Callithrix jacchus: one gene and its partners. Each later gene encodes a partner of the first gene's protein in a complex. Links are inferred from orthologs where the notes say so. Each region holds a gene or a part of one and is shown in the gene's direction. Other genes may lie near its edges.

Region 1 (3,500 bases):
TCAAAACTACTTCACTCATGCTGGGGATCTCTGTGCTATGAAAAAATAAATAAAAATAGGCTGGGTACTGTGGCTCAAGCCTATAATCCCAGCACTTTGGGAAGCCAAGGCAGGCAATCACTGAGGCCAGGAGTTTGAGACCAGCTTGGCCAACTTGGTGAAACCCCATATCTACTAAAAATACAAAAATTAGCTGGACATGGTTGTGCACACCTGTAATCTGGGCTACTCTGGAGGCTGAGGCACCAGATCCCTTGAACCTGGAAAGCAGAGGTTGCAGCGAGCCGAGATCATGCCACTGCCCTCCTACCTGGGCGACTGAGTGAGAGACTGTCTCAAAAAACAAAACAAAATTAAAAATAAAACCATTTCACCCAGTACTCCGTACCGTGCAGGATTCTTGGGAAAGTTAGTTCCGTCCTTCATTAAATGAGCCAGGAGAAGTACAGTGGCTTATTCCTATAATCTCATTGCTTTGGGAGGTCAAGGAGCGGGGCCAGGAGTTTGAGACCAGCCTGGGCAACGTAGCAAGACCTCATATCCACAAAAACTGAAAAAATTAGCACAGCATGCTAGTGCGTGCCTGCAGTCCTGGCTACTCAGGAGGCTGAAACAGGAGGATCACTTGAGCCCAGGAGTTTGAAGCTGCAGTAAACCATGATCTCGCCACTGCAGTCCAGCCTAGGTGACGATGTGAGATCCTGTACCCCGAAAAAAATTGGTTATACAACAAGAGCCAAGAGAATGAACAAGAGAGTCATTATAAGAGACAGATACTGGAAAGTTTCCGAGAGTACCAAATTGGAGGCATTCATGTGAGAAGAGAGGCCATTCTCTAAATCAGATGAAATCCACTTAATCGTTTTTTTGCTCCACTCCCTACCCCTAATATTGTAACCTCCTTTGCCCATATGCAGTAGTTACCGTGTGCTTCTCTTTTGTTTAGGGACCTCCAAGGTGTTCCTCCCTTCAAGCCCCAATCATGCTGCTCTCTGGACACGAAGGGGAAGTATACTGCTGCAAGTTCCACCCCAACGGATCCACCTTAGCATCTGCAGGATTTGACCGACTGATATGTGAGGCATAGTTTTAAAATCTGGAATAATTTCTTCTGCCAGATAGTGATTTTTTTAAATTTTTGGGTACCACAGAAGGTGTCAGTCTATTAGCAGCATAACAGGCTGCATGACTAATATGCTAAAATTGGGTCATGAATATGCTGATCTTGGATGTAGAACTCGGGGTCCATGGGGCAAATACAGAAGGAGTTATTTTACTAGTTGGAAAGTGAATCGTTCTGGTTCGAGAATATCTTCCTTATAGAGGCAAATCTCCGGTTGATTTGCCAAGACACTTAGCAATCTAGACGTAACAGGTTAACGGGAGTAATGAGGAGATAAATACCTTTTCTTTTCCCAAAGGTATAAGGTCCTCTTAATTCACACCCAGAATCCTAGCTAGCATATAGGAAAGTAGGAATCCTAAAGTGGTAACTCCCTTAAATTATCTACCTGTGCATCATTAGGATCTGCTACTAGATTTCCATTTTTGAGAAATAGTAGAATTTGTCAATGCCCATTTTTGAGAAGTAGAAAAAGTTATTTCATTTATATTCCAGCAAATGAAGCCAGAATGAAAAAAGAATCATATACTTCTGTTAGCTACTCTTGCCAGATTATGAGATGAAATGAGTTCTTTGGCTGTTTTCTGTTAACCCTTTGCCTCAGGTGGATGATACCCATCTTCACTGCCCATTTTGATTTGGATATTCTGGCTCTGTGATCCTTAAGTTTACTTGTGGCCAAACGTCTGGATGGCTATAGGATCTTTGCAGAACATACATGAATTATTGATACTCTTTTTTTTTTTTTTTTTTGTAAAAACAAAAAAATTTTTTTCTTTGTTTAAAGATGGGGTTTCACCATGACAGCCAGGCTGGTCTTGAACTCCTGACCTCAGGTGATCCACCCACCTCAGCCCCCCAAAGTGGTAGGATTACAGGCGTGAGCCACCGCGCCAGGCCCGATATTCTTAATTTTGAAACTACATAGTTTTTTTGTTGTTGTTTGGTTGGTTGGTTTTTTGTTTTTTGTTTTTGTTTTGAGATGGAGTCTCACTCCGTCACCCAGGCTGGAGTGCAGTGATGCCATGTAATCTCTGCCTCCTGGGTTCAAGCGATTCTCGTGCCTCAGCCTCCCAAGTAGCTGGGATTACAGGTACCCACCACCACACCTGGCTAATTTTTATACTTTAGTATAGATGGGGTTTCACCATGTTGACCAGGCTGGTCTCCAGCTCCTGACCTCCAGTGATCCACCCACCTCAGTCTCCCAAAATGCTGGGATTACAGGCAGGAACCACCACGCCCAGCCCGAACTACATAGTTTTATCAGTGGAAAAATAGTGTCATCTGTAGGTACCACTTATGTCTGTGGGCGATCCTTAATAACACTTAGAACAAACTTGACGCTTTGCTAGACCAAGCTCCCTCAGGATAGCAGATGTGTCTGCTCATTTACCCTAGCACCTGACATGTAGGTACTTAGTACATATAGAATTAATAAATGTTATATAAAGTCACTACCATGTGAACTTTAATTATGGCCACCTTATGTTTTCCATTAAGTGCTGTCATTTGGCAGTCTGCTTTCAGACTCGGAGCTAACTTTAAAGGTTGGGTGCTGGCTGGGTGTGGTGGCTCATGCTGGTAATCCTAACACTTTGGGAGGTTGCTTGGGCAACATGGTGAAACCCTATCTCTACTAAATACAAAAAAAAAAATCAGCTGGATATGGTGGCAGCCCCTGTATCTCAGCTACACAGGAGGCTGAGGCATGAGAATTGCTTGAACCCAGGAGGCAGAGGTTGCAGTTAGTGGAGACCGTGTGACTGCACTCCAGCCTGGGCAACAAAGTGAAACTCTTGTCTCAAAAAAAAAAAAAAAAAAAAAGTTGGATGCTTTTTTAAAGTTACAGGAGAAAAAAAATAAGGTTTTAAAAAATTATATCTGTTAGGTTTTTTTTACCTTATAAAAATATTGCCATTATTTTTAGTGTCAAGAAAATTGGTCTACTGTTAAAACCAGTAGTGTTCCAAAGAGTATAATTTGAGATTTTTTTTTTTTTTTGAGGCAGAGTCTTACTCTGTCACCCAGACTAGAATGCAGTGGCAGTATCTCCAGCTCACTGCAACCTCTGCCTCCCAGGTTCAAGCAATTCTTCTGCCTCAGCCTCCCGAGTAGCTGGGATTACAGGTACCTGCTGCCATGCCTGGCTAATTTTTGTATTTTTAGTAGAGATGGGGTTTCGCTATGTCAGCCTGATCTCAAGCTCCTGACCTCAAGTGGTCCACCCATCTCGGCCTCACAGAGTGCTGGGATTACAGCCATGAGCCACTGCGCTGGGCCTGAGAACTGTTGTTCTGATAAATTCGTAAGTATCCTTTGCCTAGTAATGCTCATAAAACCCCTGTCTCCCTAACAGTGTTATGGAATGTCTATG
Region 2 (2,245 bases), on another chromosome or scaffold:
AACTAAACATTTTGATATAAAATTAGAAATAATAAGAGTTCAACAAAATAACTGTAAATGTGAAACTTAACTATTTAACTTTCTATTAAGAACTTCTTTTTCCCTGTTTATTAGTACAAAATTTTAAAAAAATTATTATTCATTGGCCAGATGTGGTGGCTCATACCTATAATCCCAGTACTTTGGGAGGCCAAGGCGGGAGGATCACTTGAGGGCAGAAGTTCAAGACCAGCTTGGGCAATATAGCAAAATTGTTTTGAAGTAGCCAGGCTTGGTGGCACATGCTTTCTATCATAGCTACTCAGGAGGTTGACGTGGGAGGAGCCTAGGAGTTCGAGGTTTTGGTCAGCTATGATTGTGCTACTGCACTCCAGCCTGGGCAACAGAGTGAGACCCTGTTTCTTAAAAGGCAAGAAAAGAAGAAAATTCTTACTTAATTACCTGCTTTGGATGTTGCCTAATATGAAAGTATTTGGCATGTTAGCCATAGCTTTTGTAACCCATTTGGACACCTCAGTATGATTTATAATGTTGACTCTGAGAAAACAACATTTGGTGCTTTAGAATGAATTTTCAGAAAACTTTTTAATCACAATTTATTCATAAATTAGAGACTGCTTCCACACAGTTTTGATATCTGAAATATTACGTAACCTGGGAGATTCAGAAACTTATGTTGAAACAAGCTTTATTATATATTTGTTCTACATCCATGAATGTTAATTTTACTGAAGGTTTATATGAAACCAAAAGTCCTACAGTAGTAATAGAAAGCTCATCTTCTGTTTATTAATTATAGATAGATTTGAGTTGTTGGTGTAGAAAGGTATCAGTTAATAAGTTCTCTCACAGTATTAGCTGTATTGTAATATTTTCCTCCTGTGTGATTATACTAATATATTTCTTTTTATTGAAAGCTTGCAAATACAGAAGAATACATAGATGGAGCATTGTCTGGACATCTGGGTGAAGTTTTAATAAGGTAAAAAACAGCAGTGGTATATGTAAGGAGTTACTGGTGAGCATTAGGAATACCTGTTTTAAATATATTAGAGCCTCAATTTTGGAGTTACTTATTTTTAAAAAATCACTATTAACTTATAATACTTTACAATTGGACTTCAGAAGTCTTTGAAATTGCTAAACTTGTCAAAGATAAGTTTTAAAATGCTTTAGAACTGGCCAAAAGATTTTTCTAGTGTTGATGTTAAATTTTCTGGCTCTTAGCTATATAACCTTTTTCAGTGGCCTTCATTGGAGGCACTTAGTTTTGAATTTTAGTTGGGTCTGGCTGTTTGTAAGAATTTTTGTACTAGCTTCAAAGCTCCAAATTCTGATAATTATTTCCCTTGGAAAATTATAAAGATATCATTTTATAACAACCATATGGTTGAAAATCAGTGCCATGTGCTTTTCAACTTATCTATGTAAAACGTTTTTTAAAAACAAATATATATTTTTTGAAAGACAGGAATATTATAAATATAGCATTCAGTATTTTCATAATAAAAAATATAGTAATTCAGATCATACATGGATTCTGGTTGAAACAACAAAATGGACTTTTTCTATTTACAGGTGTAATAATGTCCTTTATATCAGAGGTGTGGAAGAAGAGGAAGAAGATGGGGAAATGAGAGAATAGCATATTTTGTGGGGGATTTTTTTTTTTTCCTGACCCCAGCCCCTGGGATTTTTTTTTATATATATATATTTCTAGACAATAAAGATTTGTTTGTTCTTGACTTGTGAACTATTTGTATTCAGATATTTACCAGCAAAGCCCAAATGCTGAACCAATTGGGAAAGATTACTCACAAAACTAATGCTTTAAAAGTCACTGAATTTTATTTAAGTTGCTTTTTTTTATAAGCTTGATACTCTTTTTTTTTTCTATAAAGGATAGTTATTTATATGCTTTAGATATTTTTATGAAGGTGAATTTCAGACCTTTTCTTGTAAAATTATATCTTAGCTGAGACCTTTTAAATGCAACTTTTAAAGTTATTTTTGAGCCACTTTTAACATGTATAAAATTAAACATGTTTTTGGTATTAATGTACTGTCTTATTTTACTTAGTAAAATTACATGTTACTTCTGTGTCAGTATAAGCTAAATGCACATATTGTAGCTAAAATTGAAACATCTAAAAATTAAAATGATTGTGCAGACAAGGCACAACGGAAATTGGGAACCGACATTTAGGCTGAAGGCATATGGTTTGTTTACTAAGGAGAAAAAAGT
Region 3 (3,031 bases), on another chromosome or scaffold:
ACCAGAAAGTAAATAAATTTATACTCTATACTAGAGACAATGTGAAGGGCTAGAAGAGGGAAAATGAATCCCAATGTAAAAAACTAGATCTTGGCCGGGCACGGTAGCTCCTGCCTGTAATCCCAGCACTTTGGGAGGCCAAGGCAGGCAGATCCCCTGATGTCAGGAGTTCAAGACCAGCCTGACCAACATGGAGAAACCCCATCTCTACAAAAAGATAAAATAATAAAAATAAAATAAGATCTTGCAGTAAATTATTAAAGGCTTGCAACAAAAAGTGGAGAATAAAAAAGTTATGGGTGGCCAGGAGCTCACATCTGTAATCCCAGCACTTTGGGAGGTCATGATGGGTGGATCACCTGAGGTCAGGAGTTCGAGACCAGCCTCGCCAACATGATGAAACCCCGTCTCTACTAAAAATACAAACAAAAATAAAAATTAGCCGGGCGTGGTGGCACCCGCCTGTAGTCCCAGCTACTCGGGAGGCTGAGGCAGGAGAACCTCTGGTTTTTTTTTTTCGAAACGAGTTTCGTGACTGTTGCCCAGGCTGGAGTGCAATGGTGCGATCTCGGCTCACCTCCACCTCCACCTCCCGGGTTCAAGCAATTCTCCTGCCTCAGCCTCCCAAATAACTAGGATTACAGGCATGCGCCACCACACCCGGCTGATTTTGTATTTTTAGTAGAGACGGGGTTTCACCATGTTGGTCAGGCTGGTCTTGATCTCCCGACTTCAGGTAATCCGCCCGCCTCGGCCTCGCAAAGTGCTGGATTACAGACTTAAGCCACCTCTTCTAATCTACCTTTCCGGGCCCCGAGTCGCTACTCTGCCCTAAGGCCCACTCTGATCCACCCTAAAACGCTGGTTTTCACTAGAGCAGGATGTGTTTTCTACCAACCTTCGTTTCGCAAGCCTCAGCTTCTAGGCAACCCTAAGAAAGGAGAAGGCCGACCTCGGAGAGAGGGTCCGCAAGCTGATGCCTCCCTGCCCCCCACCCTTTTCGGAAATCAGCCCGTGGAGTCGGCCCCCGCGCCCTCAAGCCCCCTTACCTTGCCGCCGTTAGTGAACTTGTGGATGTACGCAGTAGACAGTCCTGGAATAAGCAAGCACACGCCCATGGCGGCGAGTCCGGGGAGTATCTCGAACCACATCTCTGCCCGGTTACCTAGACCAAAACCCTACTTCTGAGTCCTTGAAAGGTGACGGATCTCCGGCTCTCTTCCCAGTAAGCCCCGCGGCCGCCAGCGAGCGGGGCGGTGCCACGTACGGCTCCGGAGGAAGCGACGGAATCCTCCAGGGCTCAAGAGAGGCTAGCGTTCGCGTTCTCGCAGTCTTCTTCCGCCACAGTCTTTTGCTTTGACTAGCGGCGGAGCGCGCAACGTGGAGTGACGCGCGGAGGCCAAGTGCTACCCAGGCAGCCACGGCCGTTTCGGAGCTCGGGACTCTAAAATGGCCGAGCAGCTTTCTCCAGGAAAAACGGCGGATCAGGTGTGCACCTTCCTTTTCAAAAAGCCTGGGCGGAAAGGGGCTGCTGGACGCAGAAAGCGCCCGGCCTGCGACCCAGAGCCTGGAGAAAGCAGCAGCAGTAGCGACGAAGGCTGCACTGTGATTCGACCGGAAAAGAAGCGGACGACCCACAATCCAATGATACAGAAGACCCGTGACAGTGGTAGACAGAAGGCGGCTTACGGCAACTTGAGCAGCGAGGAGGAGGTGGAAAATGAGCCCGAGAGTCTCGGCGTGGTTTATAAATCCACCCGCTCGGCGAAACCCGTGGGACCAGAGGATATGGGGGCAACAGCCGTCTATGAGCTGGACACAGAGAAAGAGCGCGATGCACAAGCCATCTTTGAGCGCAGCCAGAAGATCCAGGAGGAGCTGAGGGGCAAGGAGGATGACAAGATCTATCGGGGAATCAACAATTATCAGAAATACATGAAGCCCAAGGATACGTCTATGGGCAATGCCTCTTCCGGGATGGTGAGGAAGGGCCCCATCCGAGCGCCCGAGCATCTACGTGCCACCGTGCGCTGGGATTACCAGCCCGACATCTGTAAGGACTACAAAGAGACTGGCTTCTGCGGCTTCGGAGACAGCTGCAAATTCCTCCATGACCGTTCAGATTACAAGCATGGGTGGCAGATCGAACGTGAGCTTGATGAGGGTCGCTATGGTGTCTATGAGGATGAAAACTATGAAGTGGGAAGCGATGATGAGGAAATACCATTCAAATGTTTCATCTGTCGCCAGAGCTTCCAAAACCCAGTTGTCACCAAGTGCAGGCATTATTTCTGCGAGAGATGTGCACTGCAGCATTTCCGTACCACCCCGCGCTGCTTTGTCTGTGACCAGCAGACCTACGGCGTCTTCAATCCAGCGAAAGAATTGATTGCTAAACTAGAGAAGCATCGTGCTACAGGAGAGGGTGGTGCTTCCAACTTCCCAGAAGACCCCGATGAGGATCCAATTCCCATTACTTAGGCTTCCCATAATTCTTAAATTTAAAAAATAAATATTTTGTTCTTTTGGAAGTCTTAATTCGTGTCCTTTTAGAGAAAGTGACAGAAGGCGGGTGGTGAAGTAGGGTCCTGGATTAAAAGCTTCAAGGTAGGTATAATCGGGATTTTTAGCCCTAGAACACTTTGGCATAAATTATAGAGATGGGAGTAGTTTGAGAAAAGAGCTAGAATTTGCTCGAAGTAGCCAAAGCTATGATGAAAGCAAGAACTCTGAGCCTGTTTATTATATCACATTTCTGTATCACGTAATGTTTACCAGGTACTTTCATGCATTCTTTCTCTTAGGAGCCTGTACTACAAAATATATCAGAGCCAAGGTGTGAGGGAGAGGGGTTGGGTTTGGGCGATTGGTAGCTAGTACCACAGACTTCACGTATGGAAAATGTTCCTTGCTGTCTTGGAAGCAGCAATAGTTAACCCCCCTTCTATGGATGATAAAAGTGATCTGTGCTCTGCTATCCAGTGTGATAGACAGACACTAGCCTCATGTGGCTGTTGACCACTTGAAATGT
Region 4 (3,981 bases), on another chromosome or scaffold:
TTAATTAATTCCTTTGAGCCTCATTTCTTCCTCTACAAAATAAGGGTAGAAATTTCTTTTTCTTTCTTTTCTTTTTGAATGGAGTCTCGCTCTATCATCAGGCTGGAGTGCAGTGGTGTGATCTTGGCTACTGCCTCTCAGGGTTAAGTCATTCTCCTGACTCAGCCTCCTGAGTATCTGGGATTACAAGCATGTGCCACCATGTTTGGCTAATTTTTCTATTTTTAATAGAGACAGAGTTTCACCATGTTGGCTGGGCTGGTCTTGAACTCCTGACCTCAGGTAATCCGCCCACCCCAGCCTCCCAAAGTGCTGAGTTGACAGGCATGAGCCACCATGACTGGCCCCCCTTTTTCCCCTTTATTTTCGAGACAGGGTCTTGCTATGTGGCCCAGGCTGGTTTTGAACTCCTGAGTTCAAGCAATACTCCTGCTTTGGCCTCCCAAAGTGCTGGGATTACAGGCATGAGCTACTGTGCCTGACCAGGGGATTGTAATTTTATCTGCTTCATTGGGTTGTTGTGAGGGTGGAGAGACAATACATGTAAACTGCCTAGCACATACTCTTGCATCGTATAGTATGTCATCTGTTCAATTGTTAGCTATTAATTTAACAATATTAATTTCTGCCTCCTCCTCAACTAGGAGAGTCGATGGAAAAGAGTGAGTGCAGTGGCTCTCGTGCAAATCTGTAGGCATTCACTTCAGCCTCTAGAGGCACACTGGTATGTTGCCTGTGTTTTGGGATAAGAACAACAGAAGATTTACCCTTTCGCTTATCTTCTTCACTTTTCTGCCATGACAGGGACGCTTTGATGGGGCTGTGTGTGAGCAACTGACCAGGAGCGAAGGTCCAAGTGGGACTCTGGACTGAGAGCGGGGGCTGAGACTGAAGTTGCCACATCAGACTGCTTGTTCCGTTCACTCAGAAAATATTTATAGCTAATCTAACCAGCTTTAGACACCGTTCAAGTGCTGGGGGTCCTGCAACAACCCAGGCTCGTTCCTTTACTCCATTTCACAGAAAAGAAAAATCGAAAAACTAGAGAAAATCATCTCTTCCAGAAGTAATCGCACAGGGCACGGAAGGCTGCTAGTGCGCAGGCGCCACGACCTCGGTACGCCCTAGCTCTTCCGGCGCGAGGTCAACGACTCAACCGGCAACCGGAGCCGGGGTCGCGCATGCGCCGCGCTGCCTCATCCGGGCGCCGATACCTGAATGCTGAGCGCGAGCTAGCGGAGATGAAGTAAGGCGTTAGCTTCCTTTTGAGGAAGGAGCAGCGAGTCGCCGGGGGTGGTCCGCTGGGGCTGGGGTGGTAGAGAGTCTGCGGTGTACAGAGGCGGGAGAGGCTCTGTGACTAGAACAGTTCGTCCCCTAGTTTTGCTCTCTCTCAGCTCCTGCCCAGTCGCACTTACTTGTCTGCTTTCCTCCTCCCTCCACATCCCCCCACCTTGCAGCCCTTTAACTAAGGTGAAGCTGATCAACGAGCTGAATGAACGAGAGGTCCAGCTTGGGGTGGCCGATAAGGTGTCCTGGCACTCCGAGTACAAGGACAGCGCCTGGATCTTCCTGGGTGAGGTGCACATCTTTCTCCCGCAGTGCTCCCAAGATTCTCCTACTCGGTTTCCGACGATTTCAGCGTTCCGACCCTTCACTCCTGCCTACATTCATCGCCCACCTTTATATCCATCTGCTGTCTGCCCGGGAATCCATGTTCCATCTCTTTTCTCCCCTATTTTTAGTTTTCTTTCCCTGCCAAATCATGAGAGTTACTGTTTGCCATTTGCTGTGCTAAGGCTCAGGGACTGTTGTTATTTCTCTCACCCCTGACCCATTATACAGCTGAGGAAATTGGGGTGCAGAGAAGTTAAGGGAATTCATTAAGGTCACATAGCTAGTAAGCACAACAAGCAGAACTATAGTATTCTAGAAATCATGGTCTTAGCTACACACCCACATTGCTACCACCACCCTCTCTCATTCCCCTTCCCTTCCTGAATTCACTTTTCTCCTCTAATTAGCTGCTGTCTTCTGTCCATGGCCACATTACCACTCCTGTATTCACTTTGTGTCACAACCAGTAATTGTACAGTTTGACGTTTCAAAGAGGTTATTGTACCAAACATTGTGCTAAGCACTTTATATGCGTCGTTTTATTTAATTCTTATAACAATCCTGTGAGTTATGTGCTAATATCCTCATCTTACAGATGAGGAAAGAAACATTTGGAGGGGAAATTATTTCCTAGGAAATGCTTAACAGTGTCTTTATAACGTTTGTCTATATTTAGGTGGGATTAACCATGACATATGTAGACTGATTTTGTATCATAGCTGTAAATTTGTGGATAATGAGCAGATGAATTCAGCATGTTTGTGGAAGCAGAGGTTTGTGATGGAAACTATCTGCTTTGTCCATAGTATTTGGGGTGCCAGGAGGACTGAGTGATCAGATTAGTTTAGTTAGTGGTGACTCTGACTTCCACTCAAAGTTAATCACTCCTTTTCCTGTACTACTGGCACCTTACATGTACTTCTGTCATTGCATCAGACTTGATTTTTTTTTTTAAGTTGGAGTTTCACTCTTGTTGCCCAGGCTGGAGTGCAATGATGCTATCTTGGCTCACTACAGCCTCTTTCTCCTGGGTTCAAGTGAGTCTCCTGCTTCAGCCTTCTGAGTAGCTGGGATTATAGGTGCCTGCCACCTTGCCTGGATAATTTTTTTTGTATTTTTAGTAGAGACGGGGTTTTGCCATGTTGGCCAGGCTGGTCTTGAACTCCTGACCTCAGGTGCTCTGCCCACCTCAGCCTCCCAAAGTGCTGGGATTACAGGCATGAGCCACCGTGGCCGGCCCAGACTTGATTTCTTTAAGGACAGGGCCTATTGCTTACTGTTTGCACCCCTAGTGCCTGGCCTAGTGCATGGTACGTAGTAAACTCTTGGTAAATGTTGGGTGAACTGAAATGTGGTTTTCTCTTCTAGGAGGGCTTCCTTATGAACTGACTGAAGGAGACATCATCTGTGTGTTCTCACAGTAAGTCCCTGTTCATTTCCTGCCTCCTGAGTCGACAGAGTACTTTGTTTCTATAATGCATTTTGTGGCATCACAAAAACCACTTATTTTCACTCTAGGCTGAATGGCATCCCTGCATGGGGAGGGTTGGAGATTCTGCTTTAGTCTGGATCAGTCCCAGGACATGGTTCTAGAATGTTCTCCTGTGGGAAATCCAAAAAGTTGGTTAATTTAGGCGGCCATCTTGGGAATTCAGGTCTATTTCTGTTGTCTTTGACTGAGGCTTGTTCAGCCTGGGCCTAGACTAGAACAGATTGGAACCCTCAGGAAGGTACCGTGTTGGTCCACCTCCTTGGCTCTTGCAAACTAGGGGTAACTGATGGTCACAGGGCCCTTCTGGCCCTAACCTGTGTGGCATCATAGGATTGGGGCAAAACACAGAAGTGGGGTAAAAAATAGAAGGTATAGGTTGTAGTTTGCTTTCTTTGTTTCTCAATGAGTGTAAGGTTAGTGAGCGAAGCCAGTCTCTACCTGGAGGCTGAGAATCACAGGCTGATGAGGAGCAAGAATGAATAGGAGACCTGTATATTCTTCATTCTGCTGAGCAGTAGCACTTGGTGGGAGAGGGTGTTGGCGGCTCATACTGGTAGTAGCAGCTGGTAGGAGACGGGCTGGGCAGCTGGCATGCAACCCCAGAGCTAAACAGCACAGTTAGTCCACAGGACCAGAGGACCTTGGTGGCTCACAGGTGCAGAGGAGCACTATGTTTGGGTTTTTTGGGCCTTGGGAACATAGTACAGAGAAGTTGGACGGCATGTACAGGTAGAGGACCATGGCAAAAGGGGCTGGCCAGGCAAACACAGGTAGCATACCCTGGCAGAGGGATTGCCATGGCAGGATGGTAGGGTCATCCATGGACAGAGGGTCCTGGCCAAGTGGTTGGGCCACTTAGGGGGCAGCAAGTCATA
Region 5 (2,563 bases), on another chromosome or scaffold:
TCTTGGCTCACTGCAACCTCCATCACCTGGATTCAAGTGATTCTCCTGCCTCAGCCTCTGGAGTAGCTGGAATTACAGGTGCTTGCCACCATGCCCGGCTAATTTTCTGTATTTTTAGTAGAGATAAGGTTTCACCATCTTGACCAGGATGGTCTCAATCTCTTGACCTTGTGATCTGCCCACCTCAGCTTCCCAAAGTGCTGGGATTGCAGGCGTGCGCCACCGTGCCCAGCCGAATTTTGTGATTTTTAAATAAAGTTTGGGAAATGGCACTTTGTAATTCTACTTGAAGAATAGTAAGTTTTTTTTTTTTTTTTTTTGAGACGGAGTTTCACTCTTGTTACCCAGGGTGGAGTGCAATGGCGCGATCTCGGCTCACCGCAACCTCCGCTTCCTGGGTTCAGGCAATTCTCCTGCCTCAGCCTCCTGAGTAGCTGGGATTACAGGCACGCACCACCATGCCCAACTAATTTTTTGTATTTTTAGTAGAGATGGGGTTTCACCATGTTGACCAGGATGGTCTCGATCTCTTGACCTCGTGATCCACCCGCTTCGGCCTCCCAAAGTGCTGGGATTACAGGCTTGAGCCACCACACCCGGCCCAATAACAGTATATTTTAAGTATATTTTAAAAATGAGGTCAGGAGTTTGAGACCAGCCTGACCAAAATGGAGAAACCCCATCTCTATTAAAAATACAAAATTAGCTGGGCATGGTGGCACATAGCTGTAATCCCAGCAACTTGGGAGGCTGAGGCAGGAGAATTGCTTGAACCCAGGAGGCGGAGGTTGCGAAGAGCTGAGATTGCGCTGTTGTACTCCAGCCTGGGCAATAAGAGCAAAACTCTGTCTCAAAAAAAAAAAACCTAAAAATGTTTATGCTAGCCTTTCTCAAATTCATGATTCTAAAATCCTTTGTAGGCAGAACTTATTAATATCTTGAGAAATAGAGTCATACAGTTTAAGAAGCACAGTTTTAAGCGGTTGGGAGTCATAGGAGAGTTGGCCCTTTCAGCCTTACTGCTTTTACAGACTGTTCTTCTCTACCTAGACCAGAAGCCCCTGGTCCCTCTGTCTCCCTTTCCCCTATGCCACCCTCAGAGGTCGAACTCCAAAGTGGGAAGATCAGTAGGGAACCTGAGCCTGGGGCTGGCCCACAGGCCGAGGAGTCAGCAACTGTCTCAGCCCCTGCACCTGTGAGCCCCACAAGAAGACGAGCCCTGAACCATTATCTCACCCTTCGAAGGTGAGTGTGCCCAATCAGTTTCCTCAGATTTTCTTTTCTCTCTGACCGTCTATTTTTCAAAGGTATTCAATTTAATTTTTCTTATTTTTGGTCTTTTTTTTTTTTTGAGACGGAGTTTCGCTGTTGTTACCCAGACTGGAGTGCAATGGCACGATCTCGGCTCACTGCAACCTCCACCTCCTGGGTTCAGGCAATTCTCCTGCCTCAGCCTCCCGAGTAGCTGGGATTACAGGCGCGCACCACCATGCCCAGCTAATTTTTGTATTTTTAGTAGGGACGGGGTTTCACCATGTTGACCAGGATGGTCTCGATCTCTTGACCTCGTGATCCACCCGTCTCAGCCTCCCAAAGTGCTGGGATTATAGGCATGAGCCACCGCACCCGGCCTAGTCTTTTTTTTTTTTTTTACTTCTATTTTTGTTTTTTATCTTTGGTTCCATTTTGTTTTAGCCACCCAACTTACATGACTCTCAATTTTTTTCTCACCACTAACTATTTTGCTAGAGACAGGGTTTCACCATGTTGGTCAGGCTGGTCGAACTCCTGACCTCAGGTGAGCCACCCACCTCAGCCCCCCAAAGTGCTGGGATTACAGGTGTGAGCTCACCACTGACTTCTTAATGAGCCTCTTTCCTGATCAATGCCATTTTCTCTGATCTTTTCAGCTCTGGATGGATCCCAGATGGAAGAGGTCGATGGGTAAAAGATGAAAATGTTGAGTTTGACTCTGATGAGGAGGAACCACCTGATTACCCCTTGGACTGACAGCCTTTTCCCATTCATTCACAAATAAACTGCAGGGGGTGCTGAGAACTTAACTTTCCTGAAGTCTGGTTTCTTGTCGGATCTCAGGATTTCAGATCTGTTCATTCTCATTCTGGCTATTGCTTTCCTGCAATGTACACAGCTCTCCATACTTCTAACCCCTCCCCCATCTTCTACCAAAGCCATGCCAGGCGTCAGCTGCGTCAGCCCGGTGCCCTATTAATAAGACTGTCTAAAAGAGGTCTTTGCCCTTCATGTTGTCTGCCTCCTTCTCCACTACCATTTAAAGTCCTTTCCCCTTCAAATCACATGAAGACTGTGGGTAGGCACCGGGGGCACCTGGCCACATCTGGAAACAGGGCTGAGGCTAAGTACCCTGAGAATGTAGAAGAGTCTAAAGGCATTGGCAAGGTTATGGGGAACACCAAGGGAGGGAGCTCCCCCACCTCCTACTGGTAACCTGAACTTCCCTGCCTGATGATCCCCAGAGTATAAATAATCCCCTGGTGAATTGGCAGTAACCCTTGGGGGTTAGCGCCAAGATTCCCACCGA
Region 6 (3,500 bases), on another chromosome or scaffold:
TGGGCAAATTGCCTGAGCTCAGGAGTTTGAGACCAGCCTGGGCAACATGGTGAAACCCCATCTCTACTAAAATACAGAAAGTTAGCTGGGTGTGGTGGCGGGTGCCTGTAGTCCCAGCTATTCAGGAGGCTGAGGGAAGAGAATTGCTTGAACCTGGGAGGTGGAGGTTGCAGTGAGCTGAGATTGCACCACTGCACTCCAGCCTGGGCAACAGGGCAAGACCTGTATCTCCAAAAAAAAGGGAAAAAAAAATCAAAGGGAGAAGGTATAAAAGAAAAGGCTTCTCCTAGGCCAGGCACAGTGACTCATGCCTGTAATCCCAGCACTTTGGGAGGCCGAATCGAGCACCTCATGAGGTCAAGAGATTGAGACCATCCTGGCCAACATTGTGAAACCCCATCTCTACTAAAAATACAAAAATTAGCTGGGTATGGTTGTGCGTGCCTGTAGTCCCAGCTATTTGGGAGGCTGAGGCAGGAGAGTCTCTTGAACCAAGGAGGTGGAGGTTGCAGTGAGCCAAGATCATGCTACTGCACTCCACACTCCAGCCTGGCAACAGAGTGAGACTCTGTCTCTAAAAAGAAAAGAAAAGTCTTCTCCTAGAGCAGGTTTGTGAACAGATCTTGACTGTTGAGAACAATGTGACGCTTAGAATTAATCATTTCAGTTACGGGTTTTTTTTTTTTTTAAGACGAAGTCTTCCTCTTCTCCCCTAGGCTGGAGTGCAATGACTCAATTTCGGCCCACTGCAACCTCTGTCTCCTGGGTTCAAGTGATTCTCCTGCCTCAGCCTTCTGAGTAGCTGGGATTACTGGCACCTGCCACCACACCCAGCTAATTCTTGTGTTTTTAGTAGTGATGGGGTTTCACCATGTTGGCTAGGCTGGTCTTGAACTCCCAACCTCAGGTGATCCGCCCACCTCTGCCTCCCAAAGTGCTGGGATTGCAGGCATGAGCCACCATGCCCAGCCCTCAGTTATGGGAATTTAACTTACAGTTATAATTGTGAAAGACCTTGTTATTTATATAAATCAAAGTGTTTTTTACAGCATTTTTGGTTGTTTGTTTTTGTCTTTTAGAGATAGAATCCTGCTCTGTCATCCAGGCTGGAGTGCAATAGCACTATCATAGCTCACTGCCACTTCAGACTCCTAGGTTTGAGCAATCCTCCCACCCCAGCCTCCTGAGAAGCCAGGGCAGCAGGTGCAAGCTACCATGCCTGGCTAACTTTTTAAAAATTTTTTGTAGAGATAGGTCTCACCATGATGCCCAAGCTGGTCTCAAACTTCTGGCCTCAAGTGATCCTCCTGCCTCTGCCTCCCAAAAAGCTGGGATTACAGGCAGGAGTCCACCACCCCAGTTTATAGCATTGTTTGTAAGAGCAGGAAAAGAAGAAAACTGGAAATAAGTTAAATGTTTGTCAGTTAATTATGCTCATTAATCTGATTAAATGAATGATGGTACATCCCATAAAATGAAGTACTTTGCAGCCACTAAATGCATGTTTGAACTGGGCACAGTGGCTCAGGCCTGTAATCCAGACACTTTGGGAGGCTGAGGCTGGAGGATCACTTGAGCCCAGGAGCTCAAGACCAACCCGGGCAACATAGTGAGAACTTCTCTCTACTGACAATAAACATCAGTCCAGGCTCAGTGGCTCATGCCTGTAGTCCCAGTACTTTGGGAGTCTGAAGCAGGTGGATCATCTGAGGTCAGGAGTTCAAGACCAATCTGGCCAGTGTGGCAAGACCCCCATCCCTACTGAAAACAGAAAAATTAGCCAGGCGTGGTGGCTCATGCCTGGAATCCCAGCTACTTGGGAGGCAGAGGCTACAGTGAGCTGAGATCGTGCCCCTGTACTACAGCCTGGGTGAACAAGCAAGACTCCGTCTCAAAAAAAAAAAAAAAAAGAGTTGGGAGTGGTGGTGTGTACCTGTGGTCCCAGCTACTCAGGAGGCTGAGGCCAAACGATCGCTTGAACCCTGGAGGTCAACGCTGCGGTGATCCATGATCACACCACTGCATTCCATCCTGAGTGACAGAGGGAAAACCTTTCTCAGGAAAAAAAAAAACTGTGTTCGTGTGTTTGTACAATATGTGATGTTTGTCAGATTGAAATAATTTGTCAGGAAATGGTAAGGATTTAGTTAAGCACGCAGAATGCTGTGAGGCAAAGAATATAACGTGACCAGATGTGGTGGCTCACTCACACTTGCAGTCCCAGCACTTTGGGAGGTCCCGGTGGGCAGATCACTTGAGATCAGGAGTTCAAGACCCGCCTGGACAACATGGCTAAACCCTATATCTCCACACAAAATAGAATTAGCCGGTGTGGTGGTATGTGCCTGTAGTCCCAGCTACTTGAGGGGCTGAGGCAGGAGAATCACTTGAGTCTGGGAGGCGGGGGTTGCAGTGAGTCATGATCACACCATTGCACTACAGCTTGAATGACAGAGTGAGACCCTGTCTCAAAAAAGAAGAACATAACATGACATTTATATGAATTTGTATTGCCTAAAAGTATATAGGACTAAAAGGGTAAAAATTACAGGAATTTTCATACAGACCTTTCTCCCAAGACAGTAATAAAATATACAGGTGTTTAATAAGCACAGTGGACAAAACAGCAAAACCTAGCAACAAGATAAAGAGATTAAAATTTATTCGTGCTGAAAAATACTTGGTATCACATGTCAGACTGGATTGGATTAATAAAAAAAATTTATAGAGCCGGCCTCAGTAGAGACCTTGAGTCTGCTGAGAATGATTTAGCTTGGCCCTGCCCTGACAGGATCCACAGCCAGAGGACTTTTTTAGTTCCTTCCAATGCACAGTGATCCTCCAAATCTGAGAAATCTCAGATAGACTTCTATTTAGTAAGTGAGGGAGTTCCTGAATGGGATGAGATGCTACTTTTTAGACACCAGGGGGCAGCACTTGGTGTAGTCAGTCTGAGTGCTTGGTTTATTGGCTGGGATGGGGATGTAACCAAATTGGCTTTGCCTATGGTTTCAAGGGTAGGTAGCAGAGATGCCGCTGAAACCAAACTTTTGTCCTTGCCAAGAGCTTTCTCTCCATAGAAGAGAGCCTTGTGCAGTAGTTTTTCAGATATTCCTTTGGCCTTCCTTTGTCTCCTTCTAACACCACACTCAGGCTCTCACTACAGCTGACATGGTGTTTTGTATCCTCACAGGTTGTAGGTGATGTGGACACCAGCCTCCCGCGGACCCTGGACGAGCTTGGCATCCACCTGACAAAGGAGGAGCTGAAACTGAACATCCGCCCCCTGCTCAGGCTGGTCTGCAAAAAGTTCTTTGGCGAGTTCACAGGTAATCATGTGCTCATGGCCCCTTAACTCTGTCATCCTTGTGCCCTGCCACAGGTATCACAGCAACTTTTTCTTACCCTGTAGTGGTGGTCAGAGATATGAGGATCTTTTCTTTTTCTTTGGTTTTGTTTTGTTTTGAGACAGAGTCTTGCTCTGTCTCCCTGGCTGGAGT
Region 7 (3,500 bases), on another chromosome or scaffold:
CTTAGCTTATTCACAGAGTTTATTTATTCCACAGTTTTCATTGGTCAACTTAAGAGTTAAAGAGTTAAAAATCAAATGGGGCGGGGCACGGTGGCTCACACCTGTAATTCCAGCACTTTGGAAGGCCAAGGCAGGTGGATTACAAGATCAAGAGATTGAGACCATCCTGACCAACATGGTGAAACCCCATCTCTACTAAAAACACAAAAATTAGCATGGCGTGGTGGCATGCACCTGTAGTCCCAGCTACTTGGGAGGCTGAGGCAGAAGAATCACTTGAACCCGGGAGGCAGAGGTTGTAGTGAGCCAGGATTGCCCCACTGCACTCTAGCCTGGTGACAGAGCGAAACTGTCTCAAAAAGAAAAAAAAAAAATAGAATCTCTTTCTGTTTTGAGATATGGTTCTTGGGGAAAATATTTGCCTTCAAATGAGTTGGCAGAACTTGTCTAGGATTGAGAATAGAGGTGGAGAATGCATTCCTCATATATTAACATTTCCCTGGATCCACTTTAATTTTTTTTTTTTTTGAGATGGAGTTTCGTTCTTGTTGCCCAAGCTGGAGTGCAAGGGCATGATCTCGACTCACTGCAACCTCCACCTCGCTGGTTCAAGCAATTCCCCTGCCTTAGCCTCCTGAGTAGCTGAGATTACAGGGGTTCATCACCACGCACAACTCATTTTTACTTTTTTTTTTTTTTTGAGACGGATTCTCACTCTGTCTCCCAGGCTGGAGTGCAGTGTTGTAATCTTGGCTCACTACAACCTCTGCCTCCTGGGTTTAAGCATTTCTCCTGCCTCAGCCTCCTGAGTAGCTGCAATTACAGGCACATGCCACTATGCCCAGCTAATTTTTGTATTTTTAGTAGAGATGGTTTCACAGTATTGGTCAGGCTGGTCTTGAACTCCTAACCTTGTGATCCACCTGCCTTGACCTCCCAGTGTGCTGGTATTACAGGCATGAGCCACCACACTCGGCCTCATTTTTATTATTTTTAGTGGATACGAGGTTTCACCATGTTGGTCAGGCTGTTCTCGAGCTCCTGACCTTAAATGACCCACCTCGGCCTCCCAGAGTGCTGGGATTGCCACCACACCTGGCCTACTGTAGTCTTTTCTTATTATCTAACTTGTCTCTTTTTTTTTTCAGGTGTAGTATTGAGTCCTGTTTGAGCTATTGTACTCTTTTTCCTCAAAAATGGCATTGTCTAAGAGGGAGCTGGATGAGCTGAAACCATGGATAGAGAAGACAGTGAAGAGGGTGCTGGGTTTCTCAGAGCCTACAGTGGTCACAGCAGCATTGAACTGTGTGGGGAAGGGCATGGACAAGAAAAAGGCGGCTGGTATGTACCTTTCTGCAGCTTTTGTCTTAACTTACAGGGTGATCCCAAACACTGCTTTGAACTTCCCCAAAATTCTCTCTGTTGGGAACGTCTAAAAAAAGGGCAGGCCACATTTTATTTTCATTTGTATTTTACTGCAAGTAGCCTAAATAATAATTTTGCTTTTTCTCTTATTGCTTATTTTTTATGTTATTTGTGATATATTTTAAATCTTCCTTTGGCTACCATACTGAGTCACCCAAGTTAGATTTACTTAGGAAGTATGCTAAAGTCAGATAGGCATGTTCAGTTATTCAGATTGACATCTCAACATATAAAAGTCTTTATGAAATACGTGAAAAAGCTTGAAGGAGGCAGATTTTGTTAATGGTAGTCTCCTACAGCTTGCTATTTGGGAAAGGTTAGGGTGGTTATTCATCTCTTTTTTTTTTTTAATATATATATTTTATATGTTTTTTAAGATGGGGTTTCACCATGATGGACAGGCTGGTCTTGAACTCCTGACCTCAGGTGATCCACCCACCTCAGCCTCCCAAGGTGCTAGGATTACAGGCGTGAGCCACCACGCCTGGCGATTATTCATCTTAAACTTGATGTTCAACCTAAATAGGTTATTCTGACTGACTTCCCACTCTAAAAAATTATAAGTATTTTCACCTCAAAGGGCAAGGTCATTCACTGTAAGAGAGATGGGAATCCTGCAAAGAACTTAAAATTTGTTTCACTCCTAGGAGTGAAATTCCAGTGTTGGTACCTGTTCTAGGCCTAGTATTAGTGTATATACTCTTATCTTTCCAATCCTACCACCGCCTTTTTTCCTGTCAGATCATCTGAAACCTTTTCTTGATGATTCTACTCTGCGATTTGTGGACAAACTGTTTGAGGCTGTGGAGGAAGGCCGAAGCTCTAGGCATTCCAAGTCTAGCAGTGACAGGAGCAGAAAACGAGAGCTAAAGGTAGGTTACAATTTACTATCTAATGAGCTCAGGACTGTTTTGAATGGTAACAGAGTTGCTGAGCTTGCCAGTTCACACTTTGATGTCCACGATTTAGAGCACCAAATGTTCAAGAGAGGTACTTAGACGTTAAAGTAGAAGAGGTGAATTGTGTCATCATCATATTATGATAATGAACTACCCAAGTTCATGGGTTGAAATATCCAAAGAAATAATTGGTAGCTTTGTCTTTTTTTAGATAACAGGAGTTTTGGTTTTAATCTTTCTCCATATTTCCTTTTTTTTTTTTCCCCTTCTTACTACTACCTATAAACTAATTGTTCTAAGATTTTATGTTTGATTTGAGGCCTATAAGTTGTTTTAGAATGTGACTCCACTGGTACCTGAGCTGTAGACCTCACTGATGTCTCTTTGTAGAGGTTTCTCTGCAATGCACTTGTAGATAGGATACCAAAAAGTAACTATTATTTATTATATTCTTGAGAGCTTACCATTTGCTACACGGCATATTGCTGGTCACCTGGTGCCATGAGTGAAACACTTGAAAGAGTTGTCAGTGCCTCCTTAACTACTACACTTCTTATTCTATATTTGCTGACTAATCCTGGCCTCTTTCAATATTAGCAGTGTCAAGTAGCCTATCTTTCTACTCATTTCCCAGTATCTCTCTTTATTAAAAAAAATTCTGCGACTCCTATGAAATCTTCCAAAGTTCTTTTGATACCTTGGCTATCCCATTGCTTTTGAATAAGCAATGTCTGATTGGTCCCCTGGGCAGTCTATGGAACAAGAAAAACCAGAGAGATGTGTGCCTTTTGTGTTTAGAGTATTGTAGGGTGATCAGAGAAGGAGAGAGAGTCCTGCATTAAAATAATTTGTAATTTGCCAGGCACTGTGGCATGTGCCTGTAATCCCAGCTACTTGGGAAGCTGAGGCAAGAGGATCTCTTAAGCCCAGGAGCTGTAATTTGATAGAGCAGAGATACCACAAAATATAGTATATAGACCCGTATTATAAAATCTGAGTAGCAGTTTTATGTAAATTTTAGGGTTGGCTATAGAATTTCAGACTTAATTTGAATTTTGTTATATTTAAGGGGGAATGATTGATCCATAGTATACACAGATATATACAGTGATGATTATGTCACAATAGGGCATACTTTCTTTTTCTTTTTGAGATGAAGTCTTGCTCTGTCACCCA

Evidence for each region.
Region 2: SNRNP40 (region 1) and SNRPF share a complex: the UniProt entries of both Homo sapiens proteins name them as parts of the U4/U6-U5 tri-snRNP complex. The link is inferred for Callithrix jacchus from reciprocal best matches to the Homo sapiens genes SNRNP40 and SNRPF.
Region 3: SNRNP40 (region 1) and RNF113A share a complex: the UniProt entries of both Homo sapiens proteins name them as parts of the pre-catalytic and catalytic spliceosome complex. The link is inferred for Callithrix jacchus from reciprocal best matches to the Homo sapiens genes SNRNP40 and RNF113A.
Region 4: SNRNP40 (region 1) and RBMX2 share a complex: the UniProt entries of both Homo sapiens proteins name them as parts of the minor spliceosome. The link is inferred for Callithrix jacchus from reciprocal best matches to the Homo sapiens genes SNRNP40 and RBMX2.
Region 5: SNRNP40 (region 1) and SCNM1 share a complex: the UniProt entries of both Homo sapiens proteins name them as parts of the minor spliceosome. The link is inferred for Callithrix jacchus from reciprocal best matches to the Homo sapiens genes SNRNP40 and SCNM1.
Region 6: SNRNP40 (region 1) and EFTUD2 share a complex: the UniProt entries of both Homo sapiens proteins name them as parts of the minor spliceosome. The link is inferred for Callithrix jacchus from reciprocal best matches to the Homo sapiens genes SNRNP40 and EFTUD2.
Region 7: SNRNP40 (region 1) and PRPF3 share a complex: the UniProt entries of both Homo sapiens proteins name them as parts of the U4/U6-U5 tri-snRNP complex. The link is inferred for Callithrix jacchus from reciprocal best matches to the Homo sapiens genes SNRNP40 and PRPF3.

Annotation. Positions count from the first base shown.
Region 1 is NC_133508.1:67,927,181-67,930,680, reverse strand, and holds part of SNRNP40 (U5 small nuclear ribonucleoprotein 40 kDa protein), read left to right. Parts: intron 1-946; coding exon 947-1,076; intron 1,077-3,482; coding exon 3,483-3,500. UniProt on the Homo sapiens protein: Required for pre-mRNA splicing as component of the activated spliceosome. Component of the U5 small nuclear ribonucleoprotein (snRNP) complex and the U4/U6-U5 tri-snRNP complex, building blocks of the spliceosome.
Region 2 is NC_133510.1:98,945,661-98,947,905, forward strand, and holds the end of SNRPF (small nuclear ribonucleoprotein F), read left to right. Parts: intron 1-917; coding exon 918-982; intron 983-1,578; coding exon 1,579-1,645; 3' UTR 1,646-1,745; downstream 1,746-2,245. UniProt on the Homo sapiens protein: Plays a role in pre-mRNA splicing as a core component of the spliceosomal U1, U2, U4 and U5 small nuclear ribonucleoproteins (snRNPs), the building blocks of the spliceosome.
Region 3 is NC_133524.1:115,851,741-115,854,771, reverse strand, and holds RNF113A (E3 ubiquitin-protein ligase RNF113A), read left to right. Parts: upstream 1-1,348; 5' UTR 1,349-1,449; coding exon 1,450-2,481; 3' UTR 2,482-2,531; downstream 2,532-3,031. Other genes in the region: NDUFA1 (NADH dehydrogenase [ubiquinone] 1 alpha subcomplex subunit 1), read right to left, coding at 1,050-1,151. UniProt on the Homo sapiens protein: Required for pre-mRNA splicing as component of the spliceosome. As a component of the minor spliceosome, involved in the splicing of U12-type introns in pre-mRNAs. E3 ubiquitin-protein ligase that catalyzes the transfer of ubiquitin onto target proteins.
Region 4 is NC_133524.1:126,043,655-126,047,635, forward strand, and holds the start of RBMX2 (RNA-binding motif protein, X-linked 2), read left to right. Parts: upstream 1-1,181; coding exon 1,182-1,246; intron 1,247-1,457; coding exon 1,458-1,573; intron 1,574-2,982; coding exon 2,983-3,034; intron 3,035-3,981. UniProt on the Homo sapiens protein: Involved in pre-mRNA splicing as component of the activated spliceosome. As a component of the minor spliceosome, involved in the splicing of U12-type introns in pre-mRNAs.
Region 5 is NC_133519.1:11,063,243-11,065,805, forward strand, and holds the end of SCNM1 (sodium channel modifier 1), read left to right. Parts: intron 1-1,050; coding exon 1,051-1,245; intron 1,246-1,910; coding exon 1,911-2,010; 3' UTR 2,011-2,063; downstream 2,064-2,563. UniProt on the Homo sapiens protein: As a component of the minor spliceosome, involved in the splicing of U12-type introns in pre-mRNAs. Plays a role in the regulation of primary cilia length and Hedgehog signaling.
Region 6 is NC_133506.1:85,275,255-85,278,754, reverse strand, and holds part of EFTUD2 (116 kDa U5 small nuclear ribonucleoprotein component), read left to right. Parts: intron 1-3,193; coding exon 3,194-3,329; intron 3,330-3,500. UniProt on the Homo sapiens protein: Required for pre-mRNA splicing as component of the spliceosome, including pre-catalytic, catalytic and post-catalytic spliceosomal complexes. Component of the U5 snRNP and the U4/U6-U5 tri-snRNP complex, a building block of the spliceosome.
Region 7 is NC_133519.1:10,250,063-10,253,562, forward strand, and holds part of PRPF3 (U4/U6 small nuclear ribonucleoprotein Prp3), read left to right. Parts: intron 1-1,148; 5' UTR 1,149-1,196; coding exon 1,197-1,341; intron 1,342-2,166; coding exon 2,167-2,297; intron 2,298-3,500. UniProt on the Homo sapiens protein: Plays a role in pre-mRNA splicing as component of the U4/U6-U5 tri-snRNP complex that is involved in spliceosome assembly, and as component of the precatalytic spliceosome (spliceosome B complex).